Linked DNA regions of Ovis aries. The protein of the gene in region 2 interacts with the protein of the main gene of each other region in a biochemical or structural test. Links are inferred from orthologs where the notes say so. Each region holds a gene or a part of one and is shown on either strand. Other genes may lie near its edges.

Region 1 (7,671 bases), on a different chromosome or scaffold from region 2:
CCCGCCCCCCACCAGGGGTCTGCTGGCATCCCCTTCTCATCCCAGAGCCATTGTCTGGACTGGCACGGCACTGTTAAGCGTGTCCAGACTGAAGGAGCCTGGCCCACAGCCCCACCCTTAGGGCTCCCTGCAAGGGTACAGGATGGGGACAGAGTGTCTCCCAGTACTGAGCCTCCTCTCCCAGGTCTGGGCTGTCACCTGGGGGACCTCGGGCACCCCCACCCCGCAGAACTCGTCTAGGTCTGTCTCCTGATTAGCTGCGGAGAGAACATCCCCTCTTTCCATCAGAAATGTATGAGACAGAGCCCTATGGCTGTCGGTCCACTGAAGAGAACGGCCTACTGGTTGGGGATTTTAAAAAGCCAGAGGCTGGGAAGACGAGGTCCAGCCAGGAGGTGAGGGACGAGGAAGAGGAGGAGGCAGCAGAAAGGACCCACAAGTCTGAGGTGCGGGAACAGGCCGTCCGTGAGCAGCTCCACAGCCGGCTCCACCAGGAGGACCATGAAGAGGAGGAAGAGGAAGAAAAGAAGGGGGGGCCCATGGAGACCTTGGAGGGCCTGTGGAAGAAGCATCTGGAGGGCGGCAGGGACCCCCAGAAGCGCATGGCAGAGCAGGCCAGCGATGAGGAGACAGCCCAGTTCGAGGCAGAGGAGAAGGGAGTGCAGGTGCTGGGTGAGGGCCGCAGCCTGTGGCAGGGGGTCAAGGCGGGCGGAGAGAGACACGAGGACCGCCACCACTCCCGCCAGCCAGAAGCCGAGCCCCAGCAGGAAGAGAAGGAAGAGGCTTCAGACCGGGAGGTGAGTGGAGGCGGCAATGGGGGAGCAGGGTAGACCAGATGTCAGTGGACATCCTACCAGGTAGCCTCCAACAGCAACATCCACCACGAATGGGCTGACACAGGGAGCAGGCAGCAACATCCAGGCGGGGCCTTCCCCCGACCAGGAGGGCTTCCATGCCTGCTTCCCGTTCAGCAGCCAAGAGGCCCCCCTTATTGCCCAGAAGCGCCAGAGTTAGCTACCATCGCTAGTCTGTGACCAGTGTGTTGGCCCCACGAAAAGCAGCAGCCTTGCCCAGTTCACTGGGCCTAGGCGCACACCACTGGCGCGTCGTGGAAAGCAGAGCTGTCACATGATCAACAGCAGTGACAGAAACGGCCCTCACCTCACAGGCGGGTCACGGCGTGCAAGCTGAGCGCCTTTGCTAGTCCTCTGTCCGCCCCACTGGCTATGGCAGACAATGTAGGCCTCACCGCTGGCCATGTTAGCCCACGTGACTCTTCCAGGGTCACTGTCGTAGTCCACGACGACCGGGGAGACCGCTGCGGTTGCCACTGTGTGAACTGACCTGGCCCACATCTGTGGACAGCCACTGAGGTGGCCTGCCTTTGAAGGTGGGTGCTGAGACCCCGCTTCTGTTGCCGCCAGGGGCACGACGTGGAGCGGCTGGAGCACATGAGCGATGAGCTGAAGAAGGCGACGGAGGTGCTGCGAGAGGAGCTCAGGAGGGGGGGCTGACCCGACCGCACGTCCTCCTCCCCCACACACCCTATACGGCTTAGTACCGTTGACCCCAACCTGTCACCCCACCCTGCTCCCCAACCGGCAGGAGTGGGGAGAAGGGTGTGCCTTGAAACCAGGCCTCAGGGGCCAAGTCTGAGCTGGGTGGAGGGGCTGGGCTCCGCCTGACTCAGGACACAGCCCGGATGCCCTAACCCGCTCCAACCCCCGACCCCGAGTGAATAAAGCACAGAGAAAACCACCAAGGCTGATGGCGTCGCACTTGATTTCAGAGGGACGGGCTCAGGAACGACCTGGAGGCCTGGCAAGGCAACCGCTTATCTAGTCACTGGTTGTCGGAACTGACATTTTATTAAATTGGAAACTATTAACAGCTAAGTCAGATGGGGTCGTCAGGGAGCGGTTTTGACGCTGGGGTGGGAGGTAGCTGGCTGGGGCTCCGGCCACTGTGGACTACGATGTCGTCGTATTCATCCTGGGGGCAGAGGGGCCGGGCAGAGGGGCTCAGGCAGCTGCCACCTCGCCCGCTGCCCAAGCTCCCCCACCCACTGTGGGAACCCGGTGCTGCGTCGAAGCCCGAGGTCCCCGCTCCTAAGTCTAAATCCCAGCTCCTAGTTCTCTCACCACCTCTTCCAAGGTCACCTGTGTTCTCCCGGCCCTGCGGCCTCTCCAGTCCTTCAGCCGCCACAGGGAGGTCTCCCCCTCTGCCCCACTTCCTCCTGCCTTTATCCAAATTCCTCAACCCCTGCCAGTCAGTGACAACCCCTGTCCACAGTCATGTCTCGCTGCCTGGGTTCTCCAAGGAAGCCCCTTCACCGCTGGCTGAGGTCGTTCCCCACCGCTGCCAGTGTTCGAATCACTGCTGCCCAAGGTCACCTTCCCGCAGCCTGCGTTCTCCCGCTCTTGCTCCCTGAAAAAAAACCTCCTGCGGCCATCCTCTGCTGCCTGCGTTTACCAACCACTATGACTGAGGTCTTATCTCTCTCTCTGCCTGAGTTCTGCCTCTGCCACTGCCTTCACTTCTCACCTGCCGGTGCCCGAGCTCTCCCCACCACCCCTGTCCAGGTCTCCCCTGATACCACCGGCACGGCTGCCTGAGTTCTCTAATCAGAGCAGCCCCGACGTCAGTGGCTCTCAGTGAGCTGCCTAGTGTCTCCTCTCCCCCTTCCACCTGCCCGCTTTCACCCTGACCTCCCAGCTGGGCCACCCACTCTCTCCTGACTCACGCCCTCATCCCCGCTCTCGCTGTCGCTGCTGCTGCTGCTGCTGCTGCTGCTGCAGGGGCCAGGCTTGTCCTCGTCCTCGGGCTCTGGGGCTCCGTGAGCACGGAGGAGGCGGGCAAGGATGGCGTTGGGCCGAAGCGTGGCACTGCCGAGTGGGGTGCGGCCACCATACATGCGGACAGCGGGGTCAGCACCGGCCTTCAGGAGAAGCTCCAGTACATCAGCTGCTTGGGCCTCCACGGCCAAGTGCAGGGGGCTTCGGCCGCAGGTGGGCTCCTAAGGGGTGCAGCAGAGAGGTCACTGGGGCCCTGCCCAACGCGGGGATGAGCCCCCACCCTGCCACACCTTCTCCGTAGGGTGGCTCACGGGCTTGTTGAGGTCAGCTCCTGCCTCCTGGAGCAGTCGGACCATCTCTGCATCTTTGTGGATGACAGCCACGTGGAGTGGGGTGTGGCCTAGGGACAGAGTGACCGATGTCAGATGATGGAGGGGAGGGCACTGGGCCCCCAATGCCACCATCTTTGGGCAGGGCTTTGTAACCTGAGGTTGATGGACTTTGGGGTCTGACTTCTGCATTCCTGGGTACATCAAAGAGGCCCTGTATTCCAAATCCCTTAAGTCTCAGGTGATCTGGAACTTGCTGGCAGTACCAACGCCTGGGTTGTGGGGTTGTCTGGGGCCTAGGGGTGAAGAGCCCAGGAGCTTTGGACAGGGGACCTGAGTCTCTGGTCTTACTTCACAAAGAACCAGGTTCCAAAATTCCTGGGTCCATGTCCTTGGGGGGTTGAGGTGGTCCTTGAACCCTGGATCCTGACCTTCCACCTGTGGTGGGGGTCTGGTCCCAAGTACTGAATAGTTGGGCTTAGAGATGGGGGAGGGCCCTGGGTAGACAGAATCTATTTTCCCATGAGGTCTGGCTGAGGACAGCTGTCCCTGAATCCCACTATCAGCCTCTGGGAACCTGAGTCGCCAGAGTTTCAGAGGGCCTGGCTTTTGAGTTCCCTTGTCCCAGGTGGGCTGGGGCCTATGGTTCTCAACAACCTGGCGCTGAGCAGGCATCCTTGGTTCTGATGCCTGGGTCCCTTGAGTATTATTATTATTCCTGGGATTATTTCCCAAGGAGCCAAGCTCTGCATCAGGAGAGCTGAGCCCAGAGCCAGCTGTCCCCGCTCTTCTTGGGAGCCTGGGCCCTTCACGGTGACTGGGGACCCTCACCCTCATAGTTTTCAGCCTCCAGCTGCAGTTTCCAGTCCTCTTCACTCTCATCCTCTTCTTTCTCCACGTCAGGTTCAGAGTACAGGGCAATAGGGGTGTGGTCGGTGTCAGGGGTATGGTCAGAGCCCTGAGCGAGGTAGGTCTTGGGGGCTCCCCTGGAGTGCTGGGGGCGAGGCTGGAGCAGCACGCGAGCGCAGGCGTGGGCCCCCACGCGGCAGGACAGGTGCAGCGCCGTGTGGCCTCCACGCTCCGCCACCAGCAAATTGGCACCTGCTGCATACAGCTTCTCTACCGCGGACGCCTCCTCCAGGATGGCTGCCAGGTGCAGGGCCGTCTGCAGGAGCAGAAGGTAGGGGTGAGGGGCCATACTGAGAATCCTGGCCCCCAAGCCCTACGCTGTCCACAGGCGGCTCACCTGGCCCAAGTCATTCTGCAGGTCCAGGTACTCGGTACCAGCTGCAAAGCCTAGGAGGAAGTCCAGGAAGGGCTCATGCTGATGAATCACCGCCAAGTGCAGTGCCCTGAGAACAAGGACCAGGGTCAGAAGGCAGAGGTCAAGTATTCTTTTTATGGTTTGCTTGCTTTCATTTCCAAGGCTAACCATTCAATACCATGGTAATCCAAGCCTATGCTCCAACCAGTAACGCTGAAGAAGCTGAAGTTGAATGGTTCTATGAAGACCTACAAGACCTTCTGCACTAACACCCAAAAAAGATGTCTTTTTCATTATAGGGGACTGGAATGCAAACGCAGGAAGTCAAGAAAAACTTGGAGTAACAGGAAAATTTGGCCTTGGAATGCGGAATGAAGCAGGGCAAAGGCTAACAGAGTTTTGCCAAGAGAACACACTGGTCATAGCGAACACCCTCTTCCAACAACACAAGTGAAGACTCTACACATGGACATCAGCAGATGGTCAACACCGAAATCAGATTGATTATATTCTCTGAGGCCAAAGATAGAGAAGCTCTATACAGTCAGCAAAAACAAGACTGGGAGCTGACTGTGGCTCAGATCATGAACTCCTTACTGCCAAATTCAGACTTAAATTGAAGAAAGTAGGGAAAACCAGTAGACCATTCAGGTATGACCTAAATCAAATCCCTTATGATTATACAGTGGAAATGAGAAATAGATTTAAGGGACTAGATCTGATAGATAGAGTGCCTGATGAACTATGGACGGAGGTTTGTGACATTGTACAGAAGACAGGGATCAAGACCACCCATATGGAAAAGAAATGCAAAAAAGCAAAATGGCTGTCTGAGGAGGCCTTACAAATAGCTGTGAAAAGGAGAGGCAAAAAGCAAAGGAGAAAAGGAAAGATATAAGCATCTGAATGCAGAGTTCCAAAGAATAGCAAGGAGAGACAAGAAAGCCTTCTTCAGCAATCAATGCAAAGAAATAGAGGAAAACAACAAAATGGGAAAGACTAGAGATCTCTTCAAGAAAATTAGAGATACCAAGGGAACATTTCATGCAAAGATGGGCTTGATAAAGGACAGAAATGGTATGGACCTAACAGAAGCAGAAGATATTAAGAAGAGGTGGCAAGAATACACAGAAGAACTGTACAAAAAGATCTTCACAACCAAGATAATCACGATGGTGTGATCATTCACCGAGAGCCAGACATCCTGGAACGTGAAGTCAAGTGGGCCTTAGAAAGAATCACTATGAACAAAGCTAGTGGAGGTGATGGAAATCCAGTTGAGCTCTTTCAAATCCTGAAAGAGGATGCTGTGAAAGTGCTGCACTCAATATGCCAGCAAGTTTGGAAAACTCAGCAGTGGCCACAGGACTGGAAAAGGTCAGTTTTCATTCCAATCCCAAAGAAAGGCAATGCCAAAGAATGCTCAAACTACCGCACAATTGCACTCATCTCACACGCTAGTAAAGTAATGCTCAAAATTCTCCAAGCCAGGCTTCAGCAATATGTGAACCGTGAACTTCCAGATGTTCAAGCTGGTTTTAGAAAAGGCAGAGGAACCAGAGATCAAATTGCCAACATCTGCTGGATCATCGAAAAAGCAAGAGAGTTCCAGAAAAACATCTATTTCTGCTTTATTGACTATGCCAAAGCCTTTGACTATGTGGATCACAATAAACTGTGGAAAATTCTGAAAGAGATGGGAATACCAGACCACCTGACCTGTCTCTTGAGAAACCTATATGCAGGTCAGGAAGCAACAGTTAGAATTGGACATGGAACAACAGACTGGTTCCAAATAGGAAAAGGAGTACATCAAGACTGTGTACTGTCACCCTGCGTATTTAACTTGTATGCAGAGTACATCATGAGAAACGCTGGGCTGGAAGAAGCACAAGCTGGAATCAAGATTGCCGGGAGAAATATCAATAACCTCAGATATGCAGATGACACCACCCTTATGGCAGAAAGTGAAGAGGAACAAAAAAGCCTCTTGATGAAAGTGAAAGAGGAGAGTGAAAATGTTGGCTTAAAGCTCAACATTCAGAAACCTAAGATATTGGCATCTGTTCCCATCACTTCATGGGAAATAGATGGGGAAACAGTGTCAGACTTCATTTTTGGGGCTCCAAAATCACTGCAGATGGTGATTGCAGCCAGGAAATTGGCTTCCCTGGTGGCTCAGAGTGTAAAGCGTCTGCCTGCAATGCAAGAGACCCGGGTTCGATCCCTGGGTCGGGAAGATCCCCTGGAGAAGGAAATGGCAACCTGCTCCAGTATTCTTTCCTTGAGAATTCCATGGACAGAGGAGCTTGGTGGGCTACAGTCCACAGGGTCACAAAGAGTCGGACATGACTGAACAACTTCACTTTCACTTTAGTCCTTGGAAGGAAAGTTATGACCAACCTAGATAGCATATTCAAAAGCAGAGACATTACTTTGCCAACAAAGGTCTGTCTAGTCAAGGCTATGGTTTTCCAGTGGTCATGTATGGATATGAATGTTGGACAGTGAAGAAAGCTGAGTGCCGAAGAATTGATGCTTTTGAATTGTGGTGTTAGAGAAGACTCTTAAGAGTCCCTTGGACTACAAGGAGGTCCAACCAGTCCTTCCTAAAGAGGCTCAGTCCTGGGTGTTCATTGGAAGGACTGATGCTAAAGCCGAAACTCCAATGCTTTGGCCACCTCATGCGAAGAGTTGACTCATTGGAAAAGACCCTGATGCTGGGAGGGATTAGGAGCAGGAGGAGAAGGGGTCGAGAGGATGAGATGGCTGGATGGCATCACCAACTCTGTGGACATGAGTTTGAGTGAACTCCAGGAGTTGGTGATGGACAGGGAGGCCTGGCGTGGTGCAATTCATAGGGTTGCGAAGAGTCGGACACGACTGAGCAACTGAACTGAACTGGGGATTTTTTCTTTGGTGGGTGGAGGGGTTGTTTGTTTGTTTTCCTTCTTATGAGGACAAGCACTCTTGCATTCATTCCTTCAGCAAACATGGAGGACCCACTGTGCAAAGCGTGATGACCCACAGCTCTAGAACCAGCCGTCAGGAATCTGGGAGGGTCAGGTCAGAGTTAACTCAGCAAATTTATTTAATCAATGTGTTTTTTTGTTTTGCTTTGGTTTGGTTTGGTACTTTTTGTTTCTTTGGTGTTTTATTTCATTTTTCTGTTTTTGTTTTTGGCCGCATATGGGATCTTAGGTCCCTAATCAGGGATGGAATCCTCGCCCCCTGCAGTGGAAGCATGGAGTCTTAACCACTAGACCACCAGGGAGGTCTCCAA
Region 2 (7,671 bases):
CTTGGGGCCAGGTGACCTGCCCCAGGGCCACAGAGCTGGCGGGTGGCAGGCCTAGATCCTGGCCACAGACTCCCGAGGCCATGTCCCTTCTAGCCGGGCAGCTGAAGGTCCATGGTGAGGCTCAGGAGTCCCTGGCCGAGTCTGTCGGGGCTCAGCCTCAGCGTGGCTCTGTCTCCAGGAGAACGAGGTGAAGCACTTGGTGGAGCGGATGATGGCCCTGCAGACGGACATCGTGGACCTGCAGCGCAGCCCCATGGGCCGGAAGCAGGGCGGGACACTGGACGACCTGTGAGTGTGTGCATGTGCCTGCGCGCGGGCGGGCGCACGGGCGGGCTGTTCAAGCGCAGTTCCTCTGGAGCGCGCCCTCCTGTGCAGCCCGGTCCTGGGGAGGTCCTCTCGGCACATCTGGAAGCTGAGCCCGGGCAGACCTCCGTCCCTCTGAGCCTCACCTGAGACAGAAGAGCTGTCTGACCTCACAGTTGTGGGGACCAGTTCAGATAACGCCCCGAGCCATGGTTCGTGAACTCCAAAGCATCAGGTCAGATGCCCCTCTGCCCAGCATACCCCTGAGAAGCAGGAAGTAGGAAGGGAGGGAGCCAGGTAAGTCTTAGAAGGTGGAACCTTGACTCTTCATTTGAGTCGTGATCAGGACTTTGGCCTCAGCTCCAGGGACCCTCCCTGGGCAGAGCAGCCCCTCCTGCATTCCGGGAGCAGACGAGGGCACCAGGAGAGCCTCCCTGGGGCTCAGCTAGGCCTCTGATGCTTCTGCCAGGATTCTTAGAACCGGAGGCTCCAGTCTTTGAAATCTGATTATCTGTAGCCTGTATTTTGTCAAGTTAGTCAGTGTTTTATCTTACTCTGGTTTTCAAACAAAAGTCAGCCCCTGGAAACATCAGTCCATCTCACTGTGTTTGGGCCCTGGGGAGGGCATGTCTGCTCCTGGCTTGAGTTTCAGAGGCCACGTTCTCTGAACTCAGGACCCACACCTCTGAATTGCGGGGGCCAGGCGGGTGGGGAATGCTGAGGGACAGAGGAGGCTTCTGTCCTGAGGACTCTCAGGAAGTCTTGACCATGAGCTTTGAGTTGGCATTTCGACAGTGAGCCGGGTCTTCCTCTGTCATGGGTTTCGCCCGTGACATCCCCAGGGAGCGTGCTTGCCTCTGGCCAGGACGTGCTGCCTGCCCAGCTTCCAGAAGTTGCTGATGCTGCCGGCAGTAGCTCTGGCGCTGATGGAGCCGCTGCCTTGTGTGTTTCAGAGAAGAGCAGGCGCGGGAGCTTTACCGCAGGCTGAGGGAGAAACCGAGAGGTGAGTGGGCCGCCTCCCGGGTCCCCTACTGCCCGGGCACCAGACCGGCCCCCCACAGACCGTGCGGCTCCGTCCCGCTTTGCAGACCAGCGGACTGATGGTGACAGTCAGGAAATGGTGCGCCTGCTCCTCCAGGCAATCCAAGGCTTTGAGAAGAAAGTGCGAGTGATTTACACGCAGCTCAGGTATCAGGCCGCTGTCCCCTTGGAGGGTGGAATGAGGAGAGGCCCCATCCCCTCCCCTGGGCCCTGGAGGAGCTGCCAGCTGCAGTGGCCGAACAGAGTCATCCCCGCTGGGGCCCGCGTCCTGCTCCCCCTGACCTGGGCGCGCTGGAACTCATCGCACTTGGTCTTCACAGTAAGACCGTGGTCTGCAAGCAGAAGGCCCTGGAGCTGCTGCCCAAGGTGGAGGAGGTGGTCAGCCTGATGAGCGAGGATGAGAAGACGGTGGTGCGGCTGCAGGAGAAACGGCAGAAGGAGCTCTGGAACCTCCTGAAGATCGCGTGTGTGAGTGAGCCCCGGCGGGCCTGTCCTGGAGGCGGCAGGGTTGGTGTCCATGCATCAGCTGAGCCGGGCCCCTTCGGGAGGCTCAAGGGGAGAATCCCTCCTCGCCACTTCTCGGACGCCACTGGCTCCAGCACTCCTTGGCTTGCGGCAGCATCACTTCAGTCTCTGCCTCTGACCCCGTGTGGCCCTCTTCTCTAGTCTCTCCCTCTCTTTAAAGTTTGTTTCTTTTTGGTGGCACTGGGTCTCTGTGGCTGCAGCCGTGCTCTCTCTAGTTTGCGGTGAGCAGGGGCTGCGCCCGAGTCAGCGGCGCGCAGGCTTCCCATCACGATGGCTTCTCTGGTTGCGGAGCACGGGCTCCAGGGTGCGCGGGCTTAGCCGCTCTACCGCACGTGGAGTCTTCCTGGACCAGGGGCTGAACCCGTGTCCCCTGCACAGGCAGGCAGACTGTCATCCGCTGTACCACCAGGGAAGTCCTCTACTGTGTCTCTTGTAAAAACACTTGTCCCTGGGTTTAGGTCCCACCCAGATAATCCAGAGTGATCTCATCACAGGATCCTTAGCTACATCTGCAAAGGTGCTTTTTCGAAACGAGGTCACACCCCAGGTTCCTGGAGACCTGCGTGCAGCCCCTGAGCCGTGTGCCTGCTGGGCCCTGAGCCAGGCCTGTGCCGTGCAGCGCTGAGCCTGCTCTGCGAGTGCCCACCATCCCAATGTGGCTGTGATCCCACTGAGTGCTGCTCAGAGAGAAACCGCAGCACAGAAGAGACTGGAGAAGAGCCAAGAAAAGCTTGGAATCGAGCTGGCAGGCAGCAGGGAGGCTGAGGAGGCTGATGGCAGAGCTGCTTGGCCACGGGCTAGGGAGGCCTGCTGCTCCAGGTGCGCCAGCTGCCGCAGCCCAGAAAACACCTCGGCCTCTTCTGCTCCCCAGGTGGCGCAAGTCACGGGAAGTCACCTAGGACCTTCTTGTGTTTCTCTTCTTGGGAAGATTAAACACACCTTCCTTCTCGTTTCCTTGTAAGGGTTTGTTGAGCAATCCAACTAATGAGATAGAAGCCTTAGGGCCTTCCCTGGTGGTCCAGTGGTAAAGAATCCACCTTCCAGCACGGGACGAGGGTTTGTTCACTGGTCAGGAAACTAAGATCCCACATGCCACAGGGCAACTAAGCCCTCCTGCCACAACGAGAGAAGCCTGTAACTGCAATCAAGAGCCTGCAGAGCCAAAAAACACAAAATTAATGGCCAGTGGTTGATGAAAAAAAAAAAGAAATAGAACCCTTAAATTTCTCTGTATTTAGAACCCCCAAAATTTAAAATTAAATGGCCAATGGTTGATTAAAAAAAAAGAGAGAGAACCCTCAGATCTCTCTGTTTAGAACCCTCAATCAGAAAGTTACACCTGCAGATCAGAAGCAGTTTCTAAGCTGAAACGCAAAGCATCAGACGGCGATGTTGCCTGATTTCTGCAGGAAGAGCATGTGTCTCGTGGCCAGGTGTCTTCATGAGAAAACACCCTGCCGCGGAAGCAGAGTCTCAGTCATCCCTCTGCCCCTAGACCGCTGACTCTCGTTCTGGTTTTGCCCTCTAGAGCAAGGTCCGGGGTCCCGTCAGCGGGAGCCCGGACAGCATGAACGCCTCCCGCCTGAGTCACCCCAGCCAGCTGATGTCGCAGCCCTGCGCGGCTCCTGACAGCTTGCCCGAGGCTGCCGAGAAGAGGTGAGTCCTCATCCGCGGTGTCCAGTGCTGAAGTCCGGGGCGCGTCAGGAGGTCGTGGGCGTGGAAGCACGGGTCTCCTGGTGGCGGCGCCATGCACGCCCCTTGGTATCTGTCCCCCGTGCCGGGCACCGTGGGCGTGGATGTGGTGTGTTGCTCACAGCACTGCTTGTGGCCTGCCCAGCCAGGTGTCCTTATCTGAGGCCGAGTTGCTCTTGCTGGATGGGAGCCTTCCGTCCAGTGCTGGCCAGCCCTGTGCTGTCCCCTCATCCATCCCCTGCTATCTGCTCACAGAAGCAGGTCCCTGAGGGTGTCCTCTGGCCACCGCGCCCCAGTCACACATTGCCGGTCCGTCCTGTGGTCCCTCCTCCCCCCACCCCCCGCTCACCCCTCGCCGCCCTGCCTGTTGCGCACGCCCCTGCTGCAGAGCTGAGAGTGCAGCCTCAGAGCCCTTCCCATGAGGTTTTCCCTCTCTGCTTCCAGCCTAGTGCTGCCCCCAGGCCCCCTCTGGTCAAATCCGTCTTCATGGGAGACTGTTTTGATCGAGTTATTCTCCTGGATACTCAGGGACCAGCCATGGCAGCCAGCTGCCTCGGGGCCAAGGCTGAGCCTTTCCCAGCCTCCAAGCGTCCTCTCCAGGCTCACCCCCACTCCCAGGCAGCTCCTGGCTCTGCCCGAGGGTCTTGGAGCCCGGTCCAGACCAACAGCATCAGTGGGTTCTGGGCTCTCACTGGACATGCAGGTTCGGGATCGGCAACCCCGGGTAACCAGGCCGGGCCGACCCCCCTGCATCCTGGCGCCCCGGGTCCTTGGCTCTGCTGACGCCCTCCCTGGGGTGTCTTCCCTCCGCCCTGGCCCTGCCTCCCACCCCCTCCACGGCCCAGACACACACGCACAGATCTCTGTTCCCGAGACACCCGTGCGGCTTTTTGTTTCTGGCTCAGCCTCACACCCATTCTTCAGGGCCTTCCCTTGCTGGGCCCCAGGCGCTGGAGACGGTGAAGACTGATTCCCAAGGGCAGGTCTACAGACTAGAGAGGAGACCTGGTTGCTGAGGGAGAGCAGTGACTGACAGCGGGTACAGGGTTTCCCCTTGGGTGATGAAACGGTCGAGGACCAGACCTCTGCGATGGTTGCACGACGCTGTAAGTGCACCAGAAGCGTGTGGTCGTGCACCTTACACGGGTGAACTTTATGGTTTGTGAATATATCTCAGTAAAGCTGTTTTCAAGAAGTCCTGTTCCTGTACTTGGGGAGTTTGTATTCTCTATTGTTGTGGGTTTTTTTTTTTCTATTTCTCTTTTGGCCTCTTGGCTTGCAGAATGTATTTCCCTGAGCAGGGACTGAACCTGGGCCCTCGGCAGTGAAAGTGCAGAATCCTAACCACTGGACCACCAGAGAATTCTCCGTGTTGGATTCTTAATTCTCTCCCCAACTTCCAGTTAGCTCCTTGAGGGTGGTAACCGGGTCCGGGGCTCTGGGGCCAGCCCAGAGCCTGGTGCCTGGGCAGTGGCCAGGCAGTGGATGAGTCTGGGCTCTGCTCCTCCCACTAGCGCCCCCTTTGCGGTGAGAGGAGGAACTGCGGGGCCCTTCCTGTTGGGTTTGTCCCCGCTCTAGGAAAGGCGTCCTGGGGGCTCAGGTTGCCATCTGTCTGCCCACGTCCTGGAGCTGAGGTTAGAACAAGACAGATGGCTTGCTTTGCTCTCGCCTTTCTCAGCCACGGCCTGTTCTCGGGACGTGTGCATTTCTTATCGTAGAGAAGGTGGGACGTGTGCATTTCTCATAGGAAAGGCGAGAGTGCAGCAGATGAATTAGTTCCTAGAACACGCTGCTCCCAGTCTGAGAGCTGAGGACACCTGGGGAATTCTCGCGGTCTGTATACCTTTATCAGTTTCAAGAACTGTGAAACAGGTGATCTGGGAGAGATTTTCAGATTGTGGCAGTTTAGAGAGAGCCTAAGAAATCCCTTTGGCTCTGAACTTTTTTATTAGGCCAGACCTCTGCTTTCTCATGTTGTGAATGGCGATGCTCACGGCTGGGTTTGAGCTTCCATAACAGTGCTCAAGAAGAACAGATGAAAATTGCCGAGGCAGTGTCATATATTTTAAGACACTCAGTATCAGAATAATCGTTCAATTTTTAAAATCTTTCCAGAAGCCCTTTAGCATACTTGTACATAGTAATATATTTCTTTTGAAAAGTTCACACTGACCACGTTCTAATAATCCAGTCGTTTTCTTTAGTGACGACCTGGTGGCTGAAGCTCACACCCTGTGCACCCAGCTGGAGAACGCCCTGCAGGACACCATGAAGGAGCAGGACCAGAGTTTGAGGGTAATGGCCCACGGGGAGCCCCGCTGCTCCACACCTTTTCTTTTCTGCAGCAAACGAGAAGCTGAGAGAGAGGCGACGCCCTGCCGCCTTGATCTCAGTGTACACTTGGGATTTTCTGGTACAACCTTCATATTCATCATGATAACAGGGCTGACGACTGTTGAACGAGCACAGGTACCTTACGTGCTCTGTCTCCTCTCATCCTCACTGTGCTTGGTCCTTATGAGGCCGGTAGCATCCCTGGGAGAAGGCCTCTCTCCCGCTCTTCCCTTCTGTGCAGTTGCTGGGCATGCGTGTGAGAGGTGCGGTGCTGGGCTCCAGGGACAAAGCTGTCACCACCCCATCTCTCAGGGACTCGGAGCTTAGGGACTCAGCAAGCCCAGCTCTAGGGAAGCTGATCTAAAGAAAAATGAGTCCAGGTGCAGAGACATCGAGGCAAAGCTGAACTTTCTGAGAGGATGCTTAATTGTTCGCTTGGGTCTTTTAATGGCCATTTCCTCCAATACAGTCCCGCACTAGCGTTGCCGAAACTTCTCGGTTTGGGGAAGGATCGGAGGGGTCACTGCCAATGGTAATCACCTCTTATTTCTTCAAGTGCCATCCTGCTGTTTGGGGCTTTCCGTGTCTCCTCCTTGGTACTCTTCCTCCTCTGGGCCCTGTATGTTTCGACCCTTGCACTGCCTATGTGCTTCTGCCAGAGGGAAAGGAAGTCTGGCCAGGCGGTTCCACCTGGTTAGCCTGGAGCTGGAGAACTAAGACGAGCCCTGGGCACCTGGGTGTTCAGTGAGCATAGGTCAGTGCTGTGAGCTGCAGGAATCACACTTAAATCGCTTGGCCAGAGTCTCCAGGGGCTCTCCAGGGGCCAGGGGCTCCACGCCCATCTGAAGATAAGCTCCTGCACGGTCTTGAAGACATAGCTCCAGCTCTGGGGTCCCTTGCAGAAACTCGACTGTCAATGAAAGGCTCTAGCCTTCCTTCTAAATCATGCTGGTTGCCTCCCAAAGAAGAAAACCAGGTACCTGGGTGGCCACAGGGTTGTTAATGAGCCCATTGACTTTCAGTCTCTAGACTGGAGCTGGTTGCAGTCGGAGGAGGAGGAACAGCAGGGACTGGAGCGGGCCTCGTGATGGTGGGCGGCCCTGGCCCCAGTGGGCTGCCTTGCCCAAGGCCCCAGCGTCATCGCGCCCGGCGTCCTTGGCACCCAGACAGAGATCACGCTCCTCCAGCAGCCATGACGGTCGCTCTGGACTGAAGGCATGGCCCTCCGTGGGCACAGCCAGCAGCTCGTCTGCTCGCTGGATTTCCTCTGCTGCAGAGGCCCAGTGGACGTGGATGCCGGGGGGCGGCGTGTAGGAGATGTCTCCAGGGCCGCCACTGCCCCTGCGAGGGGAGAGGAGTGCTCCAGGCTCAGCGGCCACACCCGACTGACTCCCAGGACGAAGTCTGAGCGGCGCTCGGTGCCAGCTGTCTCCTCCTGACCCCTCCTGCTCTCCAGAGGAGGTCTGTCTGCGTAGCTCGAGTTTCTGGATTCGGCTTCTCTTGAGCAGACCTCCAAACCCCGGATCCTGCCCTGTCCCATCCTCCTTTCTCCTCTGATCTCACTGCTGCTAACGTTTGTCCTTCCACCTGCGATCTGCAGCCAGGCTGCGGTCCTTCCAGCCAGCGTGACTGGAGCCAGGAGGGAAAAGCATCTCCCTTCCTGCGTGTCCCAAAGAGTCCCTGGGAGCGAGCTGCCTTGGAGAAGAAGGAAAGACGGAAAGGATGTCTGTCACTCATGAGCCTGTTGACCCCCTGTGCCCACAGCCCTGCCCCGTG

The links. The genes of interacting proteins can lie anywhere in the genome.
Region 1: of the proteins of IKBKB (region 2) and NFKBIB, one has a biochemical effect on the other in vitro, tested with the Homo sapiens proteins (2 studies listed by BioGRID). The link is inferred for Ovis aries from reciprocal best matches to the Homo sapiens genes IKBKB and NFKBIB.

What each region holds. Positions count from the first base shown.
Region 1 is NC_056067.1:47,988,479-47,996,149, reverse strand, and holds the end of NFKBIB (NF-kappa-B inhibitor beta), read right to left. Parts: intron 4,477-7,671; coding exon 4,371-4,476; intron 4,290-4,370; coding exon 3,956-4,289; intron 3,196-3,955; coding exon 3,107-3,195; intron 3,017-3,106; coding exon 2,744-3,016; intron 1,993-2,743; coding exon 1,897-1,992; 3' UTR 1,850-1,896; downstream 1-1,849. Other genes in the region: CCER2 (coiled-coil domain-containing glutamate-rich protein 2), read left to right, coding at 289-797, 1,425-1,514. UniProt on the Homo sapiens protein: Inhibits NF-kappa-B by complexing with and trapping it in the cytoplasm.
Region 2 is NC_056079.1:36,497,649-36,505,319, forward strand, and holds part of IKBKB (inhibitor of nuclear factor kappa-B kinase subunit beta), read left to right. Parts: intron 1-178; coding exon 179-288; intron 289-1,256; coding exon 1,257-1,306; intron 1,307-1,391; coding exon 1,392-1,491; intron 1,492-1,664; coding exon 1,665-1,812; intron 1,813-3,397; coding exon 3,398-3,525; intron 3,526-4,850; exon of another isoform or gene 4,851-4,923; intron 4,924-5,765; coding exon 5,766-6,222; 3' UTR 6,223-6,917; coding exon of another isoform or gene 6,918-6,983; 3' UTR 6,984-7,671.